Lonchura striata: one gene and its partners. The protein of the gene in region 2 interacts with the protein of the main gene of each other region in a biochemical or structural test. Links are inferred from orthologs where the notes say so. Each region holds a gene or a part of one and is shown on either strand. Other genes may lie near its edges. The genes, in order: E3 ubiquitin-protein ligase TRIM7-like, UBE2D1, RLIM and PRKN.

Region 1 (7,594 bases), on a different chromosome or scaffold from region 2:
ATAAAATATTCCTGAAAAAAACCAAAAATAAAAAAATATTCCAGAAAAAAAGAACAAAAATTAAAAATATTCCTGAATAAAAGTATAGAAATATAAAATATTCCAGAAAAAATGGAAAAAAAATCCAGAAAAAAAAATTTAAAATATGCCAAAAAATTTGCAAAAATATAAAATATTCCTGAAGGGAAAAAAAAAATATTCCAGGAAATAAAAAGCAAAAATTAAAATTTAAAAAAAAATTTGCAAAAATAGAAATAATTCCCAGAATAAATTAAAAAAAAAATTAAAATATTGAAGAGAAAAAGCAGAAATTAAAAATATTCCAGGAAATAAATAAAATATATAAAATATTCCGGAAAATAAATTAAAAATTAAAAGTATTCTGGAAAAAATACAATAATAAACTCGTGCGGTGTTTCTGTAGTGTAGTGGTTATCACGTTCGCCTCACACGCGAAAGGTCCCCGGTTCGAAACCGGGCAGAAACAGCTGAAATTTTGAAAATTTTTTTCGTTTTTTTACCCTTTTTACCCCCAAAAAATAACCGAAAAAACCCCAAAATCTCCCCCAAAAAAAACCCAAAAAATGAAATTATTGTGTGGAGGAGGAGAGGAGGAGTTGGAGTCGCGCGTTTCTGCTCCTGGGGGGAATAATTTGAATTATTTGGGGTTTTTTTGGGGGGGTGAGTTGGGATCGCGGCCAAAATCCGCTCCTGATTTTGGGGGTTTCAGGTTGTTCCAAAAAAAACTCCAAAAAAAACCCAAAAACCCCCAAAAAAATCCAAAAAAATCCCCCCCAAAAAAAACCCCAAAAAACCCAAAATCCTCCAAAATCCCCCAAAAACCCCTTAAAATAACCCAAAAATAACCCGTAAAATCTCCAAAAAAACCAAAAAAATTCCCAAAACCCCCAAAAAACCAAAAAAAAACCCCCAAAAGCCTCAAAAAAAGGAAATTTGGGGAGTAAAAAGGAAATTTTTTGGAGGGTAAAAAGGAAATTTTTAGATAAAAAGGGAATTTTGGGGGCAAAAGGAAACTTTTTGGGGGTAAAAAGGGACATTTTTAGATGTATAAAAGTTTTTTTTGAGGGTAAAAAGGGATATTTTTGGGCGTTAAAAGGAAATTTCTTGCGGGTAAAAATTGAATTTTTGGGGGTAAAAAGGGAATTTTTTGGGTGTACAAAGGGAATTTTTTGAGTGTACAAAGTGAATTTCTGGGGGGTAAAAAGTGAATTTTTGGGCGTTAAAATGAGTATTTTGGAGGGTAAAAAAGGCATTTTTTGGGGGGAAAAGGGAACGTTTGGGGGAACAATTAAAATTTTGGGGGTAAAATGGGAGTTTTTTAAAGAATTTAACCCAAAAATGTGAATTTGGGTGGTATTTTGGGGGGTATTGGTTAGCATTGGGCTCCCTGGTGGTCTAGTGGTTAGGATTCGGCGCTCTCACCGCCGCGGCCCGGGTTCGATTCCCGGTCAGGGAAGAATTTCTTATTGACAAAAACCAATTAAAATTTCATTGATTTGTTCATTTCTTTTAATCTCTTTTTAGTGAAACATCTCCTAAGCCCCGAAATTTCCCTTTTTCTCCTCTTTTTGTGCTTCTCGCTCCGTTAGCGAGCGATAAATAAATGAGTAAATAAGAAATAAGCAATAATTTTTTTTATTAATTTTATTTATTAAATTTATTGAATGTATTCATTTATATGAAAGGCGTTTACCGGCTGTGCTAAAATAACTGCATTTATAATAAAGATATATATAATGATAAAAATAATATTAACATTATATTACATTACATTATATTGTATTATATTATATTACATGACAATATAATGCAGTATTTGTATTATAATATAAATAATATTTCTGTAATATATTATTATATATTATTTATACCACATGATTATTTGTAATATATTAGAAATAATACGTTTATAATACAATATTTATAGTATGTTATGTTATGTTATGTTATGTTATGTTATGTTATATTATGTTATATTATATTATATTTTGTTATATTATATTATATTTTGTTATATTATACTATATTATACTATATTATACTATATTATGTTATATTATGTTATATTATGTTATGTTATGTTATATTATATTATATTATATTATATTATATTATATTATATTATATTATATTATATTATATTATATTATATTATATTATATTATATTATATTATATTATATTATATTATATTATATTATATTATATTATATTACACTACATTATATTATACTACATTATACTACATTATACTATATTATACTACATTATACTACATTATATTATACTATATTATACTATACTATATTATACTAAATTATACTATATTACATTATATTATAAAAAATAAAAATCATTTTAGAAAAGGGGCAGAAACTCTTTAGGAGGGATCAGCGCTTCGCTTCTCGCGATGAAAATCCATTACAATTTTTTAACTCCCGGGTTCCCGAAAATTCCGAATTTTTGGGTGGGATTTTGCCTTTTCCAGCTTTTCCCGGAGCGCTCCCAGCGCCCGGCTAGCTCAGTCGGCAGAGCATGAGACTCTTAATCTCAGGGTCGTGGGTTCGAGCCCCACGTTGGGCGGAGAAATGTTATTTTTATTGATCCACGCCAAAAAATTGTATTTATTACAGATATATTTATTGTGGATATATTTGTTATAGACATATTTATTATATATATTTATAATATATATTATATATATAAGTCTATTTATTATATATCTATTTATTATGTATATATATTTTATATTTATTTATTATATATTTATTATAGATATTTTATAATATATATTTTTTTATAATATCTATTTTTATTATATATATTCATAGATAAATTACATTTAGATTTTTATCTATATTATATTTCGAATATATGAATAATATATTTATTATTTTATAAAATATATATTATTTTTATAGTTTTATCGTTTTAATATATTTGTAATTTTTATATATTTATAAATATATTTTTTGTAATATATTATATATATTACATATATAATTTTATATATTATAATAATATATATTATTATATATAATATATAATAGATAATAGATTATTATTTTATATAATATATCATATATAATATATAATATATAATATATAATATATAATATATAAAATTTTATATATTATATATTATATATTATATATTATATATTATATATTATATATTATATATTATATATTATATATTATATATTATATATATAATATAATATAAAATATATAATATATTATATAGAATATATATTATAGAATATATATTATAGAATATATATTATATAATATATAATATATAATATATAATATATAATATATAATATATAATATATAATATATAATATATAATATATAATATATAATATATAATATATAATATATAGTGCATAATGCATAATGCATAATGCATAATGCATAATGCATAATATATAATAATAATATAACAACAATAACAATAATGCTATGATAATAATAACATCAATAAATTAGTACTTTTCAAAGGAGGATTTCAGCCCCAAAAATGTGAATTTTAGCACTTAAAAATAACAATTTTCCATTTTACCCCTAAATCCCCGTAATTTTAAAAACCCTTTTTATTGAGATTCTGGAATTGGCGATGAAAATTCCCTGGAAAGGGTTAAAAAGTTGCCGAAACTTTCCCGGGGACAGGTGGAGGAGGGAGGCGCTGGAAACGCGATCCGGGCGCTGAGCAAGTTCAAGAAAATTTTGGAATTTTGCCACGGAGGAGAGGAGCAGAAAGAGGAGAAAGAGGAGGAGAAAAAGGAGGAGATCCCGATGATTTTAAATTCCTTTTTATTGAGATTCTGGAAGTGGCGATGAAAATTCCCGGGAAATAACTTTGGCACGGAGGAGGAGGAGGAGAAGAGGAGGAGGAGGAGGAAGAAGAGGAGGAGAAAACCTCGGCCAAGTTCAATAAAATTTTGGAATTTTGCCACGGAGGAGAGGAGCAGAAAGAGGAGAAGAGGAGGAGGAGGAGGAAAAAACCTCGGCCAAGTTCAATAAAATTTTGGAATTTTGCCACGAAGGAGAGGAGCAGAAGAAAGAGGAGAAGAGGAGGAGGAGGAGGAGGAGAAGAGGAGGAGGAGGAGGAGAAGAGGAGGAGGAGGAGGAGGAGAAGAGGAGGAGGAGGAGGAGGAGAAGAGGAGGAGGAGGAGGAGGAGAAGAGGAGGAGAAGAGGAGGAGGAGAAGAGGAGGAGGAGGAGGAGGAGAAGAGGAGGAGGAGGAGGAGGAGAAGAGGAGGAGAAGAGGAGGAGGAGAAGAGGAGGAGGAGGAGGAGGAAGAAGAAACCTCGGCACAGGAGCGATGGGGGAGGGCAAAGCGCGGTGAGTGACCCGCTCGGGGACGGGCCGGTGACACCGGGGGACAAACGCGGCCCCGGGACGCGGCGGGGAGCCCCGGCCGGGCCGCGATGTCCGAGGCGGCCGCGGCCGCCGCGGGGCTGCTCCGCCGCGGTCCCGCCGAGCGGCTCCCGCGGCCCCGGAACCGCCGGGAGCCCGCCCGGCTGGCGGCGCCGCTCGGGGCGTCCTGCAGAACCGGCCCGATGGCAAATCCCGGGAATTTGGGGGATTTGGGGAGCCCGCCGGGGGCTCCGCCCGCCGCCGCCGCCGCTCCGAGGTACGCGAGGGCAGCGGGGCGCGGGGAGGGTTTTGGGGGGCGGTTGGGGCTCTCTGCCCCTCGCTTCTCCTTTTCCTTTTTCTTTTCCTTTCCCTTTTTCTTTTTCTTTTTCTTTTTCTTTTCCTTTTCCTTTTCCTTTTTCTTTTTCCTCCTTCTCCTCCTTTTCCTTCTCCTTTTCCTTTTCCTCCTCTTCCTCCTCCTCCTCCTCCTCCTCCTTTTCCTTTTCCTTTTCCTTTTCCTTTTCCTTTTCCTTTTCCTTTTCCTTTTCCTTTTCCTTTTCCTTCTCCTTCTCCTTCTCCTTCTCCTTCTCCTTCTCCTTCTCCTTCTCCTTCTTTCCTTTTCCTTTTCCTTTTCCTTTTCCTTTTCCTTTTCCTTTTCCTTTTCCTTTTCCTTTTCCTTTTCCTTTTCCTTTTCCTTTTCCTTTTCCTTTTCCTTTTCCTTTTCCTTTTCCTTTTCCTTTTCCTTTTCCTTCTCTGAATTCTGGCTTTGATTCAGCGCCAGCTCACCCAGAAATCGGCTCCATCCAGAGCCTGACACCCCCAAACCGGAGGACATCCCCAAAAAATTTACTTTTCTCAAGGAAAAGGAAGGAAAATAAATATTGAAAACTCCAGGATTCGTGGGAACAGATTTATTCCTGGTTTTCTATGTGCCCGGAGGTCCCGGAGAAACCGGACACCGGCGCGCTGAGCCCGCGGCCGCCTGCCAGGAATTCCCGAAACCGATTCCCGAAACCGATTCCCGAAATCAATCCTCGAAATAAATCCCCAGAATAATTCCCGAAATAATTCCCGAAATAAATCCCTGAAATAAAGTCCCAAAATAAATTCCCGAAATAAATCCTCGAAATAAATCCCCAGAATAATTCCCGAAATAATTCCCGAAATAAATCCCTGAAATAAAGTCCCAAAATAAATTCCCGATGTAAATCCCAGATATAAATCCCCGAAATAAATCCCCAAAATAAATCCCTGAAATAAATAAATCCCCAAAATAAATCCCCGAAATAAATTAACCCCCAAACTTCTTTAACCCCTTCCTCCCCGGCAGGAAAGAAGCCGCGGCAGCCGCGTTCGTGCCAGGGCAGCTCCGCCGCGGGGCCGCCTGCCAGGAATTCCCGAAATCCATTCCCGAAATAATTCCCGATATCAATTCCCGATATAAATTCCGATATAATTCCCGATATCAATTCCCGATATAAATCCCCGAAATAAATCCCCAAAATAAATTCCCGATATAAATTCCGATATAAATCCCCGAAATAATTCCCGATATCAATTCCCGATATAAATCCCCAAAATAAATCCCCGATATAAATCCCCGAAATAAATCCCCGATATAAATCCCCAAAATAAAATTCCCTATATAAATCCCCGATAAAAATTCCTAAAATAAACCCCAAAAACCTCTTTAACCCCTTCCTCCCCGGCAGGAAGGACCCCGCGGCGACCTCGTTCCTCCTCCCTCGGGACCTCCAGGACGAAGCCACCTGCCAGGAATTCCCGAAATCAATCCCTGAAACAAATTCCCGAAATCAATCCCTGAAACAAATTCCCGAAATCAATCCCGATATCAATTCCCGATATCAATCCCCGAAATAATTCCCGATATCAATTCCAATATAAATCCCCGAAATAATTCCCGATATAAATCCCCGAAATAAATCCCCGATATAAATCCCCAAAATAAAATTCCCTATATAAATCCCCGATAAAAATTCCTAAAATAAACCCCAAAAACCTCTTTAACCCCTTCCTCCCCGGCAGGAAGGACCCCGCGGCGACCTCGTTCCTCCTCCCTCGGGACCTCCAGGACGAAGCCACCTGCCAGGAATTCCCGAAATCCATTCCCGAAATCAATCCCCAAAATAAATCCCCAAAATAAATCCCCAAACCTCTTTAACCCCTTCCTCCCCGGCAGGAAAGAAGCCGCGGCAGCCGCGTTCGTGCCAGGGCAGCTCCGCCGCGGGGCCGCCTGCCAGGAATTCCCGAAATCCATTCCCGAAATAATTCCCGATATCAATTCCCCATATAAATCCCCGAAATAAATCCCCGAAATAATTCCCGATATAAATTCCCGATATAAATCCCCGATATAAATCCCCAAAATAAAATCCCGGTATAAATTACCAAATAAAATTCCCGATAAAAATCCCCAAAATAAACCCCAAAAACCTCTTTAACCCCTTCCTCCCCGGCAGGGAGGACCCCGCGGCGACCTCGTTCCTCCTCCCTCGGGACCTCCAGGACGAAGCCACCTGCCAGGAATTCCCGAAATCCATTCCCGAAATAATTCCCGATATCAATTCCCGATATCAATCCCCGATATAAATCCCCGAAATAAATCCCCAAAATAAATCCCCGATATAAATCCCCGATATAAATCCCCGATATAAATCCCCAAAATAAAATCCCGGTATAAATTACCAAATAAAATTCCCGATATAAATCCCCAAAATAAACCCCAAAAACCTCTTTAACCCCTTCCTCCCCGGCAGGGAGGACCCCGCGGCGACCTCGTTCCTCCTCCCTCGGGACCTCCAGGACGAAGCCACCTGCCAGGAATTCCCGAAATCCATTCCCGAAATAATTCCCGATATCAATTCCCGATATAAATCCCCGAAATAATTCCCGATATAAATCCCCGATATAAATCCCCGAAATAAATCCCCGATATAAATCCCCAAAATAAAATCCCGGTATAAATTACCAAATAAAATTCCCGATATAAATCCCCAAAATAAACCCCAAAAACCTCTTTAACCCCTTCCTCCCCGGCAGGGAGGACCCCGCGGCGACCTCGTTCCTCCTCCCTCGGGACCTCCAGGACGAAGCCGCCTGCCAGGAATTCCCGAAATCCATTCCCGAAATAATTCCCGATATAAATCCCGATATCAATCCCCGAAATAATTCCCGATATCAATTCCCAATATC
Region 2 (7,238 bases):
CAATGAAAATTTAGAAGAAATACTTCAATTTATTCAATAGACTCACTGGAAAATCATCCTACAGGGTTTCAGAGGCAGTAAGTTTTGTCGTGTTTCACACACAGATCTGGAAAAGTTGGAACACCCTTTTAATCTAACCAAGTTAGCCACAAAATGCATGTGGAAGAATAAAACTTTTATTTTTAAATACTCTGAACGGTTTCAAAAGGCCTCTGGTTTCAAAAGACCTCTGGTGCCAATGCAACAGTTTGCTGCCAAAAATCCTAAGGTCATGCATGAGGCATCTGTTAACAGACTGACACTGATGTAGAGTATCAAGGGGTTTTTATTTCTTCTAAAATAAAAAGCAGTAGGAGCAACTTTTGAGTTATTATTAAAGAACTCCAAATGCTGGTATAATACCAAACCACAGTGTTACAAGACAAGACAAAACAGGCCTGTGTAACATGGCAGAAAAAAAAATTGGTTTTGTGTTTTAAGCACTAAACAATGAAAAAAAAAATTTGGCTAGAACTCCATTAAAATTAACACACAAATGAGAGAAGAGACAGCAACAGAGATGGAAAGAAGGAAACAAATTCAAAGAATGAAGCCCCAGGAGAGCAGGCAGTGCACAGAAGTAAACAAAAAAAAAAATCAGAGACGAGAATGGCAATAAGACACTGATAGGGATTTATTCTCTTCTGTATTCTTTGGACATATCCTAATGAAAGATATTTAGATCGAAGTTTCTCCTCTCTTCTTCTTTCTCTAAATATCTAGAGCATTGCTCTGGATGTTTCCAGGTCTACACTACAGAGGGAGTTTTTGGATCTGCTAGAGAGCTCTGAGACTATATCCACAGGAAAACATACATTTACCAACTGCACTGAGAAGTGGATTAAGAAAGTGAAGTGGCCTTGCCTCCACCAAGATCCTTGTTAAGAACCCAGATCAATTTACATTCTAGCAACTATCAACAATATGGGGGAGAGCTACACCCTGACAAAGTTAGTCCAAGTCTGCCCTAAGAGGCAACAGTCAAGTTACCTCTGCTGCTCGGAAAATATTTATGTTATTCTAAAGTCACAGAGTAATAACACCTGACATGAAAAACTGTATGTCTCCAGAAGTACTTGTAACTTTCAAGCATTTTTCTTGCCAATTCTGTTGCCAATGAAGAGACTGTTATTGTGCAAGAGTTGTTCATGACAGTCCAGTAGTGTCACTGCCCACAACAAAAATCAATAATGGAGAAACACGTGATTCTCACTTACTGAAGTGTATCAAGATAACTAGATACACAAAAAAACCTAACAGTAAAAGTCAAGCAGTCAAGCTGACAAAATCACTTCTACCACTCCACAGCACCGACAAAAAAATGAGATTATGACTGGCAGGTTTAATTCAACAGAAGACATATGGCAAAGAGGCCACCTGAGGGAAGAAGATTGCTGGATTTCACCAAGCTGTAAAAGACTCGTCACCATGATCAGATCTGTGGTTGGTGTGGGGTCACACCTGCAAACAACCACACCTCTCAAACCAAAAGCAATAGGTGTGCTACTCACTGCCTTCCAAAGGGCACACATGCACAGAAGCAATTAACTCCCCCCACTGCTACCACGAATGAAATCTCACAAAAATATGGTAAGCTTCTGATGTCTAGTTTTCAGTAGAGAATGATTTTCAAAATTCATCAGCCTGAGACACATGCCAGCTGAAGGAAGAAATGTTGCCTGCTAGTCACAAGGCATTGATCAAGTTTTATCTCTTCAGAAATCACAAAAACCTAATGCTGTCTCCTGCTAAACAGAGCACCCTCCAGACTAGTGCCATCAGCTGCTCCTATGCTTTTGTTAGACAATGAGGATATTTTCAGTTTGTTTAAGAGCATATTCTTCTCCCATCTCCACACAGATTTTCTGCTTAATTCCCAATGTCTAGGAACTGTTCAAATTCTTGCAAAATTATAAATGACAGCAAGCTGCCGTTGGGAACACAACCTGGATGCAAGGTATTACCAAGTGATTCTCAGTGATTTGATTATTTTAACAAGCATAGCCTTCCACCACTATAGCCCATTTTAGACTAATGTGTTTGCCAGCATCCTCTGTACCAGTAATCTCCACCCTACCCACCCCTCAAAAAAACAACCAAAAAAAAAAAAAAAAACCAAAAAAAAAAAAAAAAAAAAAAAAAACACATCTGCCCGCTAAATTAAGGACATACACCATGAACAGCTTTGCAAGTGGAAACCAGTCACGCATGTGAAGCTAATATTTTAGAGAAAATTAGATAATTCAGCTTTCTATTCTATCCTCTACCCGGCCTAACTCTTTCATCCTGTCCGGTTGTGCAACAGCATTTAAAACACACAACGCTACCTCAGGCAGGGTTCAAGTCAATCATTACACAGCGCGAATGTCACCGTTACCTCTACTGTACAGCAGCGGGCATTGAGAGCCAGACAAAACCTCTAAAATTTACCGGTTTTCCCGAAATTTTCACTCCAACAGGTGGAACACAGAAACAAAACAGTGGCGTCTGAAACGGACTGTCCCCACTACAGATAAAATCCGGGAGCGCGCTGGCGGGGCCGAAGCTCGGCGCGGCGGGGCCGAAGCTCGGCGCTGCGGGGCCGAAGCTCGGCGCTGCGGGCCCTCACAGCTCTGCAGAGGGGCGGGACGGGGGCAGGGGGCCCCTCCGCGCTGCCCGCGGCGTTCGCGCCTCGCCGGCCGCGGGAGGGGTTTTGCTGCGGAGCGGATCCCCCCGGCCGCCCCGGCCCCACCGCACCCCGCGGGGCCGGCGGCGGGCAGCCCGCCATCTTGTCCCGGGGGTCCGCCGGGGCACGGGGCTCCATGCGGAGCCGCCCCCCCCCGAGGGGCGCCCCCCGTGCCGCCCGCCCGCGGGCCCCCAGGCCCGCCCCGCCCCTCCGGGCCGCTCAGCCCTCCGGCTCCCGGCCAGCCATACCCCTCACGGCGCTGTTCTGCCCCGGCCCCATGGCTGCCGCTGCCGCTCCGCACCGCGCACGCGCCGCTGCCCAAGATGGCCGCGGGGCCGCCCCCTCAAGGCCTCCCGGCGGGGAGAGGACAGGCGGAGGTTACGGCGTGCGGGACGGGAGGGAGGAGCGGGCAGCGCTGTCACTGGCCCGACGCCCGGCGCAGGGCGCTCAGGGAGGCCTCTGCAGCTCTAACATGGGTGTTGGGCACCCTGTGCGTCCTGCGCACACGCGCTGGCTCGGCGCCGCCGTTCTCTTCTTCTGTCAGTTTTGCTCTGCAAAACGCTTAGAGCAGATCGCTCCGTGCGCCCTCTCCTCTGTAGTTGTGGAAAGATTAAGCGGAAAAGTGATATCCACCAAGTGACAGCCGCCTCGAACCTCATAAGCTTGGGTATTGATGTGAGAACTACTATACCTCAAAAAATTATTATCTAAGTTCTATACCTGGTTAATGACTCTGGGACCTCGTTTATGGTTGGACCTTATAGCAAAGATGTGTACTTATGTCTTTACAAAATGCTTCCGTAGGTGAGGGATGGGTTTTAATGTCTTTGAAATGCACCTTAATGTCTCTACCAACTTCAAGCCACAGGTTTGTTAGAGAACCCAGACAGTGTGACTCTGAAACAAATGGGTTGGCACAAGCCCGAATTTCTGAACTTTGGGGGAAAATTACATATACGAGGGGGGAATATGTGCTAGGCAGTTCGGGAAGGCTGTACCTTCCTAGTACCTCAGCCGGTGGGGAAAGAAAGAGGGCAACGTGCAGCCGGGAGTTCAGGGTAAAAGGAGGCTGCACCCTTCCAAACCTTGAGAGAGAAAATCCTGTGGGTGTGTGCCCCAGTGCACTCTGCGTGACTGCTCCGCACTGACTCGATCTTAAGAGGTCTCTTTCAACTTTAATAATTCTACGACCTGTTCAACAGACTTTTCAACCCACACGTCTACTGCTTCTCTCACACACCATGACGAATATGATACACCTTTTCCCTGTATGCAGTTTTGAAGCTTCACACGGTTACTTTCCTGTTCCTCACCTCTCCGCGTGCCGGCCGCGGCCTTCCCCCCGTGTTCATCAGACACGGACTGACCCCGCGGAGCCCGAGGGGCGGGGCGCGCCCGGCCGACGCTCCCGCGCCCGCGCAGAGCCGCTCCGCCCGCGGACTGCGCTTCCCGGCGAGCCCCGCGCGCGGCCGCGGCCCCGCATGCGCAGGAGCGCACAAAGGGCCCGGCGGCTGCGGCCCCGCCCCTCCCGCTTCCGCGGCGCGCGCTCCCGCCCCGCGCTCCCGCCCCGCGCTCCCGCCGCCTGCTTCGCGCTCCCGCCGCGCGTTCCCATGGCGCTGAAGCGGATACAAAAAGTGAGTGGGGCGAGCCGTGGGAGGGGGCGGAAAGGTTCCCCTGCCCTCGGGTAGTCGCCGGTGCTGCCCCCTCCCCGGTGCCGCGGGTTGTAGGCGGCGGCCGGACCGGGCTCAGCGAGGGGTGCCGCGGCAGCTGCTGCCGCGCGCTTGCTTTGCCGGGACTCGTCCCTGCCTCGGCGGCAGCCGGGGAAGAAGAGTGGGTGCGAGACGGAGGAGGGGGGCTCTCGCCGGCCGCCTCTCGGTTTCGGGACCCTGCCGCCCTGAAGGCCCCGCGCCCCGAGCCGGTGCTCAAGGCGCCGTTCGTGGACCGGGAGCGGGGAAAGCCGAGGTGCTGCCGGCGCCTTCAGCAGAGGCGCAGGACAACATCCGTCGCTGCCGTTGTGTAACGGGGCCGTAGGCTGGGTTAAGAAGCGTTGTCAGCACAGTTCTTGGTGTGACCTTTGAGCGTATCCCAGTGGTGGTGTTTTGGGCTGGTACTTGTAAGGGCCTGGTTGAAGTTGTGGATTCCCGGTTTCCTTTTGTTTGGCAAGGCTGAGCTGACCGCTGTGCAGTACGGACACGGTACCGCGGCCAGCACGGCTGGATTAAAGGTTAGTGCTTTGGCCGTGGAACAGAATCCCTGGTGTTTGGTTGCTGTTGATGTGCCCTGTTAAGGCGGCATTGCTGCTATCCTGGTTATGTGACGGTGCGATTATTTCTTGTGCAGGATTCCCATTTGCTGTCAGAAGCCATTGGTATTGCTGAAATAGGATTCTATAGAGATGGATTAACCCCACGGTAGGCAGATTTGGGATACCCTACAGTAGATCTCAACTTATTTTGGATGGATTTCTCTCAGAAGTTGGTAGTCCTGTCCCATGCTGCAAAGCCTATGCCTTTACACAAAGTGCAATTACAGGACAACTTTTTTCCTTCATATCACCTTTGCCATGGTTGTTGCATTCGACCACTATATCAAATATTAACAAATTACTACAATGGTTTTCTTTAGCAATAACTTTGTCGTGCTTCTACATATTATACAAATGGTTTGCCTCTTGTTGTCACTTTCATTTCCCACCTCTTCTTGAACATCTCCTTGTCCTCAGGTTTCAATAAAAGGATTGTTCTGATTACGATATCTTTCCAATTCTTGTTCAGCTTCTTTCTGCTAAAATAAACACACAAAGGGAGAAGTCTGGTAATCTAGTATTTTTGAGATGAAGTGATGATTTGGGGCTTTCTAAATGAGGTCCTGCTGGAATTGAATTAATTAGTCTTCATACTTTTATCATGTTGCCTGCATAACTTTTTTTCTTCTTTAGAGATGTTTATACATATCGGAAAGCCACAATTTTCTTTAATGTGGCATTTAAGAACTTTTGATAGATGTGAAATTATGGTTAGGCTTTTTATCTAAGTATCTTTCATTCTGTTAGCTTTATTAAATTCTGTTTCTACTCTTTCAAAATGAAGAAATGCTTTCTAACCTGCTGACTGTGAGGTGCTACGAGATTGCCTAGTTATACAATAAGTTCTATCTGAAACATGAACAGATACTGGGTAAGGTAAGTCCAAGAAGAGTTGAGATTAAATTGGAACTGGTTACCACTTGCTTCTAGTTTGCTGCAGAAATTACTACTGCTAGTTTTCTTTTTTTCCCATTAAGTACCCCCATCACTCTCTTCTGCCTTTCCAGGAGAAGAAAAAGAATTCTACCAGAGGGATTTGGCTAGAAGTCTGTTTCTTGAGAAGTAGAAAAGGAAAGGGAATGGCAAGGAAATAAATTTGTTTCAAATGGAAAGTTAAAATGGAGAAGTTTGAAAAGACAAACTGTTATGATGTCATTGTAATACATAAAATTTTCCCCAAAACTATGGAAATGGAAGTTTAACGGTAGATGAAATGCATTTGTATGTTGGTGTGTTTGTCTCACTTACTTTCCTGGTGTTTCAGACTGGCTGTAAAGGTTCATAGTTACGTTGTGTCCGAAGGATAGGAGGGGGTAAGATCTGGAGTAGAGGAAGTGCTGTGGTTTCAAAGTGCCTAGAGGAATTCTTTGGAGAACAAAACAGTGTCAGCAAACACAGCGATATTGCTTGGAGCTCATCAGTCTAGACATACTGTCTGAAGTTAAGCTTTTGTAGGTTTAGGGTGGTTCAGAACAAAGCCAAAGGATTTTAGTGTCAGCTTGAGTGTTTGTTCACAGTAACTTTGATAATTTGTCTGTTCACTGTGATAACACCTACAAAGGAAGCAAAGCTGTAATATGTCAGCCTGTTAGTAAGCATATTTTTTTGTCATACTGTCTGATTTCTAAATAATATCACCACTGGGACCTGTGTCATTGCATCCTGCCTTTGGCTAATCATCTTTGAGGGCTCCTCAAAGGAGGATAGCATGTGGACTTCCAAGACTGTACCTTAGTTACAGAAAGATATATTGTGCTTGGAAGCTTCTTTAAAAATGGGCAACTGAGTAAGCAGTGAAGAAGCTGATCACTGCACATGGAGCTATGTTGACCTTCGTGCTGTAGCTGTAAGAACAGTGAGGACATGAAGCCCTGCTCTGCAGGCACAGCTGTCAGCAGTGTCTCTGTGACAAACTCATCTCAAAGTTCCTCAGGGAGTTTTGGGTCGGGGGATTCTTACTCATCATAAACTGAGGGTCCTGTGTTCATTTGCCTTGTGTGTGTTTTGCTTTGCTGTTGTATGAGAGAGGCACTGAATTTCTATACTGTTAAAAAAGTTCAGTTACACCATCTGTGATGTTCCTTGGGGCACTGAAAGAACAACTGAGAGATTTTTGTGGGCAGTGTAAATTCCAGATGTTGCAAATGATGAAAGCAAAACAAATAATGTAGGTTTTTTAACAGAACAAATATGGTGCAAAGAAGCCTTTATTCTTGCCACCTCTGGAAA
Region 3 (7,367 bases), on a different chromosome or scaffold from region 2:
CACACTCTGCTTTAACTACTTCATCTTCTGCAGCCTGAATTTTTTAGGTACAACTGGATTTATAGAATTTAACTAGGTGACAGTAAACAGCAGAGAAATCCTTTGGGATTAAGCAAATTCAGCAGAAGTTTCCACATCCTACATTTATCACAGACTTTGTATGTAACTTTCTGCCAGAATCTACAGAAAGACAAAGTCAATGTAAAAAGTAAACAGCAGCTCAGCTTTAAGCGCAGGTAGCTGGGAAAAATCAGAATTCCTGCATTTACACTCCCCAGCTGGCTTCATCTCCCCACTCAGTTCCTGGCTCTACCTCTACTTGGAGTATACAAAGATCTGAGTTTGGTGGGTCTGTTATTTTTAATTTTTTTGCTCAGGTTTAGAAGCTCCCAAGAGATTCAGATTTCCACACCTCACTGCATTTGGATTATTACTTAGCTATACTGAGAATGAGTTATTTTAATATATTTTTAGAAAAAAAAAAATAAGCCAACATTTTTTTCATCTATCACTGCATACCTAATAAGCAGTTTTTAAAACTCTAGGGAATTTAAAACAAATTTATTTACCCCCATTGAAGGAAACGACATTAAACTTACCATGGAAAAGTGTTGCAATTCTCTTTTGCTATACACACAGTAGCAAATTGAAAACACTTAAGTAGGAATTACACCATGCTTTTGCTGTAGATTTTGAATTTTTCCCTATACTGCAAATTTTTCTATGCAAATATATTTTCCCCTACAAGCTTTTTGAAATATGCTGCTACACTGCTCCTAATTTTGTCAAAGCTGTTTAGGAGATGTGTGTGCACAGGTCATTAATTATTATTAATGTCAAGTGGATACTGAAATCCATTAAGTGGTTTTGAAAAATCAGAGCTTATTCTGTACCTGATCAACTCTGTGAGGGCATTTGCAAATAAATCCACCAAATCGCACCCAGGGAGAGACTTTTCTTCAGCTGTGTGCCCTGGACCTCAGCTCCAAGTTTTTACTGCTAAGGAAGGTGTGAATCAGCAGGATCCAGCTGCTGTCTCTGCTCCTCACGGGTGTTCATCTCCCAGCAAACTACAAATGTCTGCCTCAAGAGTCGGAGCTCACCCACAGACGTGAAGAGGAATGTTTTATTGCTCTGTTGCTTTGCCATTTGATGATTTTCAAGACTTTCGGTAGGGTTAATCAAGTAAACCTATTCTGTTGAGGGGGAAAGATACAAACAAAATGATGTGTCAGATGTCAGGAGGCTGTTCCAAGAACATAAACCATCATCTTATCCCTCCATCCAAACAGAATATGCTCCACCTCCCATTTGCTCAATAATCCCTCATATTTTGCTGCTTAGGTTACTGGTGTCTAAACAAAGCCACTTTTATCCTGCTCTGACCTTGCCTTGTTTCCAGAAAAGGTGGGGGGAAAGGCAGGATTCACTTTCATGCATGACCAGCCTGTGGCAGTGCCCTCACCTCTGATTTCTTTTGAGGTGACACAGAAATGTCCTGCTGCTGTGCTAATTGCCAACACTCATACTCATGGCTGCCTTATCAATCCTGGGCACAAGGCTTCCCATGATAAGCTGGATCAATTGTGTGCCCATCACCTGCTCCCTGAATTATCCACGTTTGAAAAATGGAATGGGTTTTTTGCCAGCTTCAGTGGTGCCTGTCAAATATAAAGCAGTGTCCACACACTAAGCCACAGGGTCTCCATTTGGGGGATACAGTTTCTCTGGCCACTGGATTTTGTAGGGGTTGGACCACATAAAACATACGTTTGTCATGGGTCAGGAGCAAGACAACTTTTCCCAGTGGCAAATATTTTGGTGCATTAAATATTTGGTGCATTAAGTATTGTGATGCATTAAAACCACAAAATTGCTTTGTGACATTAAATTTACTCTTCTTTGGGGTTTTTTTTATAATATTACTCACATTTAACAGCCAAAGCAGAGCTGTTAGGTCACAGTTTGACCCAGCAGTACATTTAATTGTAACTTTAGCAACGATGCAAAAGACTGGTCTGATGTAAACTCACCCTCCCAACCCCAATTTACTTTTAAAATCATAAGAAGTGAACATTGTCCAAGCAAGTTTTATGCTGTGTTAAGTACTACCTCTCCATCACTCCAGGTATGTGGTGTATCAATACTCAATTGCTTCATGTACAGGTTATTTGAACAAAAACATAGTTGGGAACCTACACCTGCTCCAGATGAAAGTGGGACTCCTTCCTGCTCTCTGTTATTAAGGATTTTGGCATCTTCCTTTCCTGGTCACAGGCTGTGGCAAGTAAAACTGATGAGAAATATGCCCTGTACCTGTTCCTTCCCTCTTCTCTCGCCCGGACACTGTGGCTGCCTTTGAGTTCTCAAGTCTGCTGGAGGGAATTTAAAGTGTGAATTGTGAAAAACACCAATCACTTGTTTTTTGTTTTTTTTTTTTTAATCTTAAAAGTTAATAATAAAATAGTTATAAAAATAGTAATAAAATTAGAGTAGTAAAAATTTGGACACAGGATTAGGACACTACAAGACAATAAAAAGCAAAGAATTACAGACATCTGGATGTTTTGGGGCACTGAACTGCCAAAAACACGTCTTGGGAGCAAAGGAATAACCCTTAAAAGCAACAGCCAGTTGCATATTCATCTATCTCATACATGATGCATAAATTCTTTGCAAATTAAGAATGTTTCTGGTTTTTGTCAAATTCTTCCCCTTAATCCTGGTGGTTCCATAAAGATGGAGAGAAGGTGGAAGAATGTTTGTCTTTTCTGATAAGGAGGCTGTAATTCTTTAGATTTTCTGTTGCTGTTATCTCTATGCGAAGAGTTTCTTGATTATCATATCCCTTTTCTTGAGCTAGTAAAAAATATCCTACATTGCAGAGTTTCTATTTTAACATTATGTTGTAACCTAAAACTGTATTTAACACACTACTTAAAAAGGATTAATACAGTATTACAAAATAACCCTCCATAACACACATAGTATTCAATTTAATATTTGTGAAGAGGCAATCATAAAATATGCATTTTTCACATTAATATATAAAACCACTTCATTTACATTAGAAGTTGGACTTGTATTGTTGAGTAGAAACTTAACAGCTTCCACAATCTTTAAATGCAACACCCCCCTCAACTTGACAGTGCTATTTTTATAATGAACCACCAAAAGGAGAAAAAAAGGTGTCTCGTGGGCTTCCTGAAATGGTGTAAAATCCTCAGGAATACGTTTTTTCTCTATGTATCAGATACTATGAAGATAACTTCCTTGCAAGACCTTAGCAAGATATGACATTTTGGGCATTAAAATGGGATCTTTCAAAACTCAGCTGCCCTCGGTAATTCCAGCAGTGAGGGGGAACACTGCAGAAGTGCTTAACCCTACATAACATGGGAAGTCTGGCGTTCAACTCATTAAGGCTCACATAGGAAAACATGAATATCTCAGTTTTCAGAGCTGCATGTAGTACACACCACCAAGTGAGGGGGGAAAACCCTGCCATAGTTATAGAGGGGAAAGAACGTTCACGGTTTGAGGTGGAGGAATGTCAAAGCTTGGAGGGAAAGGAATGTCCGTGGTTAGAGGGGGAGGAATGCCCATGGTTAGAGGGGGAGGAATGCCCATGGTTAGAGGTGGAGGAATGACCAAGGTTAGAGGGGAAGGAATGCCCATAGTTAGAGGGGGAGGAATGCCCATGGTTAGAGGGGGAGGAATGACCATGGTTAGAGGTGGAGGAATGACCATAGTTAGAGGGGGAGGAATGCCCATGGTTAGAGGGGGAGGAATGCCCATGGTTAGAGGGGGAGGAATGCCCATGGTTAGAGGGGGAGGAATGCCCATGGTTAGAGGTGGAGGAATGACCATAGTTAGAGGGGGAGGAATGCCCATGGTTAGAGGGGGAGGAATGTCCATGCTTGGAAGGATGAATACCCGCACCGACAGACGCCAGTACTGCCAGTATTTGTTTTTTTGGCACTGCTGGCCACCATCGACCATGCACGGAATCCCCTCTCTCCAGCGCCCACACCTGAGACAACATGAAACTTAGGGGACCGCGGGGATACGGACCCTACAGTGAACGGGCAGGCACTGCTGAACCCCGGTCCCCCCCGCATTCCCTGGGTGCTGGGTGCTCTGAGCTGAGGAGCAGCCACGGCAGCCCCGCCCCGCCCTCAGCCTCTGCCCGCACCAAAATGGCGGCGGCCCCTGAGGGCCGCGGCCGCGCGCGCTGGGCGGGGCTGCCCTCGCGGGCCGCGCCTGCGCGGGGCCGCGCGCGCCCCCACTTCCGGCTGCCGGCGGCCGCTTCCGGCCCCCCGTTCCTTGGTAACAATGGAGCAGAAAATGGCCGCCTGAGCGGGCAGGAGGCGGCGCGGCGGCGGAGCGGCACGGGCGGAGCGCGGACAGCCGGCACCCAGCCCCGAGCGGCGCGGGCAGCGGCGCACCCACAGCCGGGGCGGCGGCGGGCGTCGGCGGCGGCGGGCGGTGAGCAGCGGGGCGGGGGCGGGCTCTCAAAATGGCCCGGGGACGGGAGAGGCCCAGGCCCGGGGGAGGCGGCGGCGTCCTCTGCCCGCAGCGGGAGGCGGGAGCGGAGCCCCTCAGTGCCGGCTCGGGGCCGGCGGGGCGGCTCGGCGGGGCGCGGGAGGCTCCGTCCGCGGTGCCGTGAGGGAGCGGGGGGCGGTGATGGCGGTCTGGGCGGGTGTGCCCGGATGGGCCGCGCTCCGTCACCCCGGGGCCTCTCCCGCCGGAGCCGCCCGGATCCTCCGCTGCGGGCTGGAGCGGGGGCTGCGCTGCCTGCGGGGAGGGCAGACGGGCCCCGCGCCCTGCGGGTGTCCGGCCGGGCTGGGGAGGAATGGTGAGCGGCTCCTTCGGGAGGGGTGGGGGAGGGGGTGGTCAGAGCTGCTGCCCTGGGCCTCGTCCGCGCTTGGGCGTCTGCTGCGGGAACCGCAGCCTCTCACGGCCGCGTTTTCCGCCCGTGCTCCCCGAGAGCTGGGCCAAGAAGCCTTGTTGTGGAAGACAGGCGAGAAGAACTCTTCCTCTCCCGCTGTGCAGAGCTTTGGATCAGCCTGTGACCTGTTCAGACCTGTGCTGTTTGCTATTCCTGTGCTGAGTTTCTCCCCAGTTAAGCACGTCATCTTTGCTCTGTCACCTTAGCTTCCTGTGCAGGTTTTCCCCTGCCCCTTTTAACGATGTTTGTTAGTATTTAAGGGTTCTGGTTCTCTGTTTCAAAACCTTTGTCGAGTCCAGCTGCATGTATGTGTTTATCTCGAGTCTGCTTTAACTGAGGAGCAATGTCAAGCTGTGTGTATGTATATCTGCCTGGCATGTAGTGATGATTAAGGTTTGTTTATAAAATTTATTATGTGTCCCGATTTTAGTGTGCAGCAGAAGTCTGACAAAAGGTTTCACAGGAAAAAAACCTGAATTTTTAAAATAATAGTAGTATTATTTTGCTGTTTCTCAGCAAGGTGGAGCCTTGATGCAGAGAAGCTCCTAAACAAGAATACAAACTTGATAATACCCAATAGTATCGTCACACATCACATTTATTTTCCTGAACGTGTTGGCAGTATTGGGTAATTTCAGCTTGGAAATACTTGTCAAATGTTCAAAAGAACTTCTAATTTGTCCCCGAGTTTTAATTGCAGTGACTTGTCAAGTCTTTTTAAAACAAACAGTTCGCTGCTTCTCGGGCAGTTAATTATCTTAATTGAGGGTCAGATATTTAGTTTAGTTGTAGTGGTCACCTAGCACTTAAACTGACTCTGTTCCCTCTACAGGTTTACCATTTTGGAATTAAAATAATGATAGCTTGGAATTATGTCTTGGGAAGGGAAAACACACCACACATTATAAAATTAAGGGTTTCTTGTTATGTTAGACCACTAAAGCACAACAACTGCAGTGTTCCCTTCATCAGCAACTCTGACTGGGTAAATGTTTGTCCCTGAAATAACCACACACCAGTGTTTTTCAAGCTCTAGTGGTTGCCATCTCTATCATATTTATTTTCCATATTACTGAATTCCTAGAAAAGGCTGTTGCAAGTGTCTGCTCTCCAATATGTGTAGTTGGGTTTTTTTTTTGAGGAATGGATAGCGTGATCCTTAGATTGAAATGTTTTCAAAACACCCTTACATCAGACACCTGCCTTGCTTGTTCTTTAGTCCTCTTCCCTGTGGGGATGTAGCAAAATAAATCCCTTGATCTTAGCAGAATAATTCCAATTGCAGTGGAGGTGTTACATTTTTTTAAAAATCACAGCATAATAACAATGCAATTAATATAGAACACAATGCTATATATTAATAACATGTTATTAATATTAATAAACATAATATGTTTATATAACATATGACTCCATATGTCTAAAGTTTGTGTTTAAGTCCAGCCTAATGTAGCTTAACACATTACTGGAGTGTCCTAAATTCTTTTTTTGTAGAGAACTTCAGTTTCCATGTCTTAAAACACTTGAATCCAGACATGATTATTGGGTGTTTAGCCAAGGTTTTGTGGTTTAATCTCAGTCTTGGTGAAAACTTATCAGCGGCTGAGTTTGCAAAAATTATTCGTGAAGGGATAAAACCAAATGTGAACACTTCCTTCATGATCCCTTTATGGGAGTCTTGTGCTTCTCAAAACCAAAACTTCTAAAGAGTTTAGTAGTGTCATAACTTAGTCGGGAGCTTTGTGTGCTGAGTAGGGATAGCCAGGAGCATCCCAGGGACTGGTTTTGCCTTTGCACAGCTTCTGGCTGCAGGTAAGATCATAAACACAAGCCTGTGTCTCCTTCAGAGTGCTCAGGTTTGTATTAATGAGGTGCTTGTTAGGAGCTTTTGGCTGCTGCATGGTGTTCAGGATCAGCTTTTGACTCGGGGAGGTCTGCAGGGTTGGATGGTCTCATAAAACCACCTGATGGTTATGGAATGTAGGAAAAGCCAGCACGTATTTTATCTTCATTCAGTATTTAAAATCATCTTGTGCTCAGAGCACTCTGGGTTTCGATGTGCAAGGTATATGTGCACATAGTCCTATTAAAATGCTGGAGCTTCTCTGCCTTGGGATGGTATCAGAAATGGAATTGTCATGGTACAGATGCCTGTTTAAATTCAGATAAATAGATAAATTTGCCTTAATTTGATTTCCCACCTCTCTTTGTTGGGCAGTGGATATCAGCAAGAACAGGAACGCACGTATCGGAATTCCTCTGTGGTTTGTGGTTGCAGTGATTGTTGCTCTTTTACTGTTAGCAGTGCCTGCATTAGCAGCAGTTGTGTGGAGACAGCAAGATTCAGCAGTCAATTTAAAGATGGCTTTTTCTTTTTTAATTGAAAGTCAGTGAGTGTTGATTGGCTTGGTGTTTT
Region 4 (7,717 bases), on a different chromosome or scaffold from region 2:
CACAGACAGCAGTTCAACACTGTGAGCTTTAAAAGGTTGGAGTTTTTTCAGCACGAACAGTTCCCTGAGCAGCCAACATTGTACAAATGAGGACACAACAACAGGCAGCAGTACTAAACAGCCTGAGAGAGGAAGAAGATAGGACTGCCTTCCAGAGCACTGACAGTTTAAATTGTCTTGCAGTGCTCACTGAAGTGTACTCCTAGATTGTACACAACTGCTATTGTTAAACTGGAGAAGTTCCTCCAAGACAGATGTGCTACTTCTCAATATACCTCTATCAAAATACTCCTTTAACTTGACATCTATTTGCCCCAAAACACACTGATTCTTCCAATAAATTAGCTGTTATAATCAAAAGATACAACTTTCTTGTATTCTTTCCTATAGCCTCAAAATCAAATTAGAAACTTTGACTGCTACAAAGTAAATAACAAAATCAGTCTTGATTATGCAGTGGATAGATGAATATAAATATAATGACAAATCACAAATTTCGGAACATAAACAAATCACATCATGGTTAAAATTAAACTTTTTCTAGGAGTTATTTTCTAATGGTAAAGCGTAAGAAAGCTCTTCACAACACATTACTGAAAATGGCTTGAGAGAAGTGCTTAAAGTACAAAGATTGAGAACTCATTCCCACACATAGAGACTGCAGATTCCTAAATGTAGAACAGAAGAATGAAAATCCAGAGCTGCAATACAAATAACCATTTTTCTGCTTAAGAGCAATTACACTTTTTTAGGCGATGAAAGCTGTGCCCTATACAGAGCTAAGACTCTAAGGCTGAATAGCTGCTTTGGTTTTAGAAATACAGAAACGAAAATTTTTAGCATCCCTTCCTTTCTAAGATCATCTAGTAAATATTCTCATTCTATCCCTGTGGCCTGTTCCTGAAGGCAATTTCTGACTGATGTCATGGAACACATGAATGTAATAGTAATCTTATAAGAGTTGGGAGATAGATAAGAATTATCATTCTACTGTTTCCTTTAAGTACTAAAATGAATCCTGTCCTTGAAAAAGTGCTTTTACCACCAGCGCATTACAGAAAAGTGGGACACTAACACTTCATTCTCTTCTCTACAGTTGCAGAAAACAGGAAAATGTCATCTAGAAAGGATCAGAAATGAATTGAGATATATTCCTGCTGCTCACATTCATGTTCAGACACTTCTATATCGGCTAGTCTCTACATTAATTTTTAATTGTGTTCCTAGTTCTATATGCAGTACCTCTGAAGTAAGAGCACATAACATTCTTGATTTCACCGGAGGACAAAACAATAAAAATGTAAATGTTTCTTGTTATTATAGAAGACCTTTATTGAACCTTGCTTTTAATCTAAACTGATATATAAATTTACAGTTTTGGAGTAACTTAAACACTTTATTCAGTTCAGGAACATTTTTAGGTGAATATTTAAGCATTGTATTTCACTAAGCAAGTTTTTGATTTAGCAAGAGCTGAGAAAAGTCTTAAATACTGTATCTACTTAATTTCTGCACTTACTACTAACTACAAAAGCAGACTTTATTCAGGAACATTCAAGAAAAACAGCTTAGTAAAACACTCTTTGCCCAAGCAATGTAAAAGAATTCCGGAACATTTAGTATAATATTTACAGTCATATATGCATAAAGGTAATCTACGCTAAGAGTTTAAGACTAACTACATGCTTGCACTAAAGGCTATTAATCAATACCTCATTATTTGACCTGGAGATGCCAAACACGTTTAACCCTATGCCTTATCATGCTGTTAACAAAAAGAATTACCATGTCGTAACTAGATATTCCTGCTGTGCTTTCAACCCTTCAGTTAACTCCCAAGCCTTCCATGAGAACTTCATCAAAGATGTCAACCTCTGACAAGTGAGTACTTAATAAATCTAAAGCTCCATTCAAAAAGTAGTTGGAAAAGTAAAAAGAAACTCCCACTTCAGCATAGAGAGCGTGGCTATGAGATATTCCTTTTTTTGCACACTGGAAGTTATTCTGGTGGCTGCCTGACCACAGATGGAGCTCTTGCAAAACATAGCCCTGGCACTATGAATCTCCCAAGACCACTAAGAATTTCAGAGCTTCCAACCCAGTTATGAGTAGAACATGTGCAGCAGGTCATAATACTGTAAACCCGAGCTCTGACAGGCTGGGAGGGCAAGCGAGGGGACAGATGAGCAGGGCAGAAATGAAACAGGCTGCTCAGAGAGGTCAGGCAATCCCTGATGTCACAGTTTAGCTAGGAAAACCCTCACTGACCTGATCTGGATACTGGTGACAGGCCCACTTCAAGTAGAAAGTTGGCTTAGATGATTTCCAGATGTCCATGCCAAAGAAAATAATTTCTGTTATTCTGTGAGTAGCTGCAAAGGCAGCAGATTTACTTGTAGGCAGTTCCTTAACAACAGTATCACATGATTTAATGGTCTGTTCATGTTTAGGAAGTCATAAAGGCAGCCATAAAAATTAATACTCTATAAATATTTAAAAGGAAACCTGAATTCTGATTAAACTCATAGTTAGTTATGTTCACAAGTCACAGCTCCTTTTTATAAATTAAATATGTGCTTCTCAAACTCAACTGAAACTGCTGATTCTTCTAGACAAAATAGTCTTTTACATATCTAGGTGTAAACAACCACATGCAAATATCCATTACTTGAATTTTCTCTGGAGAACAGGAAACATATTTTAAAAATTAATCCTAAAGGTTGCTGAAGTATTATAGTTCATTCCATGCATCTCTACAATAAAAATAAACAAACCAAACAATCTTTAAAACAAAGAGATTATTTGGCTGTATTCACCTTGTGTTTTTCCAAGTAAGGTGAAATATGTTGCAGTTTTACTAAATAGGAGAAAGTTTTTCAGGTATACAACTTTTACTCTATTTAAAATTTCTTTAAAGACATACTTGTTTGGCTTTTTAAGAGGATGTTCTTGCTAACTTCTTCTTGATAACATAACATCTTGATAACAAGATCAGAGAGACTGCTCCAGGAAGACCACTTCAGCAAAACAAAGGGAAATAATGTATTTCATAACAGCTGTCAGAACACTCTATAGATTTAAAAAAACCCTTGAGGACTCAAGCCTTTGCTAACACCTTGAACTGTGTCCAAATGAAGAATACAATTCAGGAGCTTAGGCAGAGATGTATGGTAATATTACCTCATCCACTCACATGTTGAATATTTGTACTCTGTACTAGTTAAAGCTTTTAACTCCTAAATTCTGATAAAGGTAGATAAATAAAACAGTATAAAGAGATTTGAAGGGCCTTTATACTACTATTTTAACTCCCAAGCCTCCAAGTTCATTAGAAATTGTGACTGCTACTTGTTGGATCAATTTCTCTGTCTTTGAACTACAAGTTGGAGAACTAATGTTTGTTTGTTTAGTATTCTCCTAGATGGTGTAGAAGTTATTTTCCAAGCTTATTTAAAAAAATCTATTAATCTATTTTCCAGATCTATGTGACATTCATATCAGTTTTATATACCATGCCAGTGTATGAAAACTTTTGAGAAATACTGCACTACTGGACAGCATTTTGCTAAGTGGGAGGCAGGAAGCTTCACGCACAATTCCATAGGCTGGCAGTTTAACAGGATGTGCACTGCCAATACAAAACCATAGAAAAAAAAAAAAAAAAGAAGTAACACCAAAATAAAGCACTTGGTGAAAGTATCGCAACTTGCAGCAATACTCCTGCAAAGTCCGAGGGTAATTTCAGCAACCAGCAAACTCCAGATAAAGTATTAGAAACTTGCACACCTTCCTGCCACGCTATATCCACAGCTCTAACTTGCTATGCTTCTTGGACAAGTTCAGTTAATTAGTATCACCACTATGCTTGCAGCAAACATACCACGCTGTTTTTCATCATGGCTCTAATACTGAAACCCTCGCAGGCCTGCTGCTTGTCCTGCTGCTTGTCCTTCTTCTCCTGCTGCTGGGGCCGCCTGTCACCGGCCAATTTTGAGGGGCCCGGGCGCCCCTCCTCCATTACAATCTCCCCACCGGCGCCCACGGCGGACCAGATGCAAGTTACGGACTGGAAAAAACAAGCGACCATCAGCGTCCCGTGTCCAGCGAGTTAGAGCAGGCATTAGGTCCAGCTTCTCTCCCTCCGCAACCAGCGGCAGCCTCACACACCCGTCCCGCGCCTTCCCTACTCCTCACAGACCCCTTTTGCCTGCCCCTCTTCCCCAGTCCCCTTCTGCATCATCCCCGCTCGTCCCCCGCACCCCGCCGTGTCCAGCCCTTCGCCACCTGATGTCCTTGTCCCCCGGGGGTCTCGCCCCCGCCCTCCCGCCCGCCGCGGTGTCCCCGCCGGCTCCGGCCCTGCCGAGCTCCGTCGGCACCTGCCACCACGCGACCGTTGCCAGGCAACGCGTCAACAACCCTGAGGGAAGCGGGAGGGGAATCACAAATAGCCCCGTCGGCACCGCCCGGTCCCGGACAGCTGTACCTACCCCCGGTGCACCGCACACCGGGGCGGCGGACAGCAATTAACGAGAAAGTCATTAGCGGTGTGTGGCGGAAACGTGAGGCGATAACGTGAGAAGAGCGTGTGCGGGTGTGAGCTGCCCAGGAACTACGCTACCCAGAGAGCCCAGCGCGTGCCTCCACCTCCGCCACCGAGGCGCATGCGCGTTCAGGGCCGGCCCAACACGCCCGCAGCGGCGCGACCCCCCCAGGGCGGCGAAAGGGGCAGCGCGGAGCGGTGGGTGCGGCCGGCACGTGCGCGCACGCCTCGCCCCTCTCCGCGCGCGGGGCCGCCGCCGCCGCCATGATCGGTGAGTGAGCGCGTCAGGGAGCGGGGCGCGCCCGGATGCGGTTCCGCCCTTTCCTCCCCGCCCCTTCCCTTCCGCCCTCCTCGCCGGCGCTGCCGCGGCCGCTGCTGTTGGCGCCGCTGCTCTTGTTGCCTCTGCTGTCGCTTCTGCGGCCCTGGGAGCGGCGGGGGCTGTCCCGGCCCCCTTCGCTTCCCCTCGGTCCCCGCGCGCCTCGCCCGGTGTCTCGGCAGGGCGGGGCAGCTCGCACTCGCGGCGGGGCGGGCTGGGGCCGCCCGCGCTCCTGGCCCGCTGCTTAAACCGCGGCGGGGCAAAGCCCTCCTCTGTTACCCCCGGGGGAGGGGGGGAAAGGTCTGGCCAGTTCTTGTGACTGAGCTCATTTTTAGAGCTCTTTTATTCCTTTTCGGTATATCGATTGTAAGTGCTTCTCGGCAAGGTTTGTGCGATCTGCGAACGTTTTTTGGCCTTGCCAGCATATATACTTGTTATTAATCCGGCGTGGTACCTGGTGGCGACCTGGAAAAGAAGAAACTTTCAACACCTCACGGTGTTGGGAGTGTGACCCTTTGGACCTTGAGTTGATTTCTGTACCCATCCAATGCTGGTGTGAAGCGTGACTTGGTTGTTTCAGCAGTGGGTTTTCTTCACTTCCTTGAAAGATTAATCCATACCTGGGAAAGTTCGAAATTGCAGGATCTGTTTTGTAGCGTTCCTATTTATTATGCATTTCATCTTTGATTTTCTCAGTTTTGAGAATTATTTAAAGTAAAACCTATAAAAGGTAGTGGATTGCACACACGCATTTTAGCAACTCCTTGCTGTTCTCAGGCTTGCTGTTTCGTCAGCATTGGTGTCATGGTTGCTGTCTACTTAAGATCTGATCAAATTGAAAACTCCGCATTTTGTTGTGAAAATGTTTATTGTTTTTAAATGGAACGTCTCAGAAGTTTCCAAGAATGCTTTGGGTCTTCTTAGCAGTGAAAATATGATTGCATGTGTATAGCTAATGTTCTTTCACCTTTGCTAAAACTAAAAAGAATGTTGTCCAGTATTTTCACTCTGTATACATATTAATGCAAATGATCCCTTCCTAATTGTGGAATTTTTCTTACTGGACTTTGTCATTTGAGCTACTTTTTTCTTATGTAGTAGAGAACATTTTAAATTGAAGGCTTGCCTTAAGGAAAGCACAGAGGGTCAGGTATCCCAGTGTTTTTATTTTGCAATGTTATCTGCTGATCTGATGTATCGCTGTAGTATATAAAATACATGTGTTTGCAGAACTGCAGTGTGTGTTTGTTTTTTCAATGCTTCAGAAAAGTAAGTTGAGTGTACCTAAGGGACTGCCCATGTGGTTACAGAGCTGATGCCTCTAGCTTCACACTGAAATCTAAATATTTACTTACTGCTCATGAATATAAATGTTCTGTGACTGAGGAATGATAATTTTATTTTCACTGTGGCAGATGGAAACGTTTGTGAATATTGATTATGAAATGTACAGACCAATTAGTTGCATATTTAAAAACACAGCTTTACATGAGTTGCAACCTGCCCTGGTTTAACCCCAGCTGGCAACTAAGAAGCACACAGCCACTGGCTCATCCCCTCCTCCCCTGCCTTGCAGGGTGTGGAGGAGAATTTCAGGTAAAATAAGAACAGTTTAATAATTGAATCAGAGTAATAAAAATACTGATAATGCTAATGATTATGATAATAGTAATGAAAAAGAGAGAGAAGAAGAAAACTGGAGGAAAAAGGGATGCAGAATAAAATTGTACGCTGGCCACTGACCAATGCCCAGCCCATCCTCAGACCAGCTCCCACCAATTTATCTCTTGGTGTGGAATGTCCCTGTGGCTAGTTTGAGTCAGCTGTCTCCTGGCCACACTCTCCCAGTTTCTTATGCACCTCCTCACTGACAGAGCATGGAAAACTGAAAAGTCCTTGATTCAGGCTAAGCACTATTTAGCAACAACTGAAACACCAGTGTGTTACCAACATTATTCTCAAACTAAATTCAAGATGCATCATGTTACCAGCTTCTAAGTCAAATTAACTCTATCCCAGCCTCCCCACACCCCAAAAACCATGTCACCCTCCCCCACTCACCCCCAAAAAAAGAATTATCTTCAAAGTATGTGATGTGGAGACCTGGTCCAGTATCCTGCTTTGAGACTTTCTGAAAACTCCTCTAAACATTTGGAAGCTGGGAATGCCATAGCAAAAATTGGGGGTAGGAATGCAAGGGTGAGAAAATAATCTGCCCATTTTTTTAACTTGAGTATTTAAAAGAATTTTCCTATAAAATACATAGTATATTTTTCAAAATGTTTCACAGTTTCATATCTCTAGAAATGTCTTACATCCTCATAATTTGATACCATAATATACACATGATAATTCCTTTAACTGATTTTTTATTTTCTATCTTTCTTTTTTCTCTTCATATCTCACAGACCAGGTCATGTAGACTTATGCACATTCAGGTTCCCTAAAGTGTAATTTGAATCCGGACTGAGCTAGTTAAGTGACATAGCTTGCATTACCTCTACTTAGGGGCTTGGTAGGTCTGGGGAGTTTTTTTGAGGTGGGGTTTTAAAGCTTGTTCTTTATTTTATTTATTTGCTTACCATTGGATCAGCTAAAACCTGTTGTTAGTGGAATGGAAGTGGCAATCTGCAGTTGGATTGGCTGATCTATTTCTTAGTCAACAGCCCTGGCAATAATGTCACATTCTTGAACACCTGTTCTGGGGGGAAAAATAAAAAAATAAAACTGATTTTGAAGGAAGATGCTGGGACAGCTTTGTGAAATTTTTTCAGAAAATCTCTCTCAAAGAGCAAAAATGCCAGGAGAAGGCCCTAAACTGTTTTAAAAATGTAGAAGGTCGACTCTATATAGTTAACAGT

What was found.
Region 1: the proteins of UBE2D1 (region 2) and E3 ubiquitin-protein ligase TRIM7-like form a complex in vitro, tested with the Homo sapiens proteins (3 studies listed by BioGRID). The link is inferred for Lonchura striata from reciprocal best matches to the Homo sapiens genes UBE2D1 and TRIM7.
Region 3: the proteins of UBE2D1 (region 2) and RLIM form a complex in vitro, tested with the Homo sapiens proteins (5 studies listed by BioGRID). The link is inferred for Lonchura striata from reciprocal best matches to the Homo sapiens genes UBE2D1 and RLIM.
Region 4: the proteins of UBE2D1 (region 2) and PRKN form a complex in vitro, tested with the Homo sapiens proteins (3 studies listed by BioGRID). The link is inferred for Lonchura striata from reciprocal best matches to the Homo sapiens genes UBE2D1 and PRKN.

What each region holds. Positions count from the first base shown.
Region 1 is NC_134631.1:326,533-334,126, forward strand, and holds the start of E3 ubiquitin-protein ligase TRIM7-like, read left to right. Parts: upstream 1-4,572; 5' UTR 4,573-4,587; coding exon 4,588-4,661; intron 4,662-7,594. UniProt on the Homo sapiens protein: E3 ubiquitin-protein ligase that have both tumor-promoting and tumor-suppressing activities and functions in several biological processes including innate immunity, regulation of ferroptosis as well as cell proliferation and migration.
Region 2 is NC_134609.1:2,764,892-2,772,129, forward strand, and holds the start of UBE2D1 (ubiquitin-conjugating enzyme E2 D1), read left to right. Parts: upstream 1-4,230; 5' UTR 4,231-4,314; coding exon 4,315-4,338; intron 4,339-7,238. Other genes in the region: CISD1 (CDGSH iron-sulfur domain-containing protein 1), read right to left, coding at 2,953-2,983.
Region 3 is NC_134616.1:16,784,962-16,792,328, reverse strand, and holds the start of RLIM (E3 ubiquitin-protein ligase RLIM), read left to right. Parts: upstream 1-4,365; 5' UTR 4,366-4,488; intron 4,489-7,367. UniProt on the Homo sapiens protein: E3 ubiquitin-protein ligase.
Region 4 is NC_134605.1:36,999,486-37,007,202, reverse strand, and holds the start of PRKN (E3 ubiquitin-protein ligase parkin), read left to right. Parts: upstream 1-4,706; 5' UTR 4,707-4,804; coding exon 4,805-4,811; intron 4,812-7,717. Other genes in the region: PACRG (parkin coregulated gene protein), read right to left, coding at 3,881-4,087. UniProt on the Homo sapiens protein: Functions within a multiprotein E3 ubiquitin ligase complex, catalyzing the covalent attachment of ubiquitin moieties onto substrate proteins. Substrates include SYT11 and VDAC1.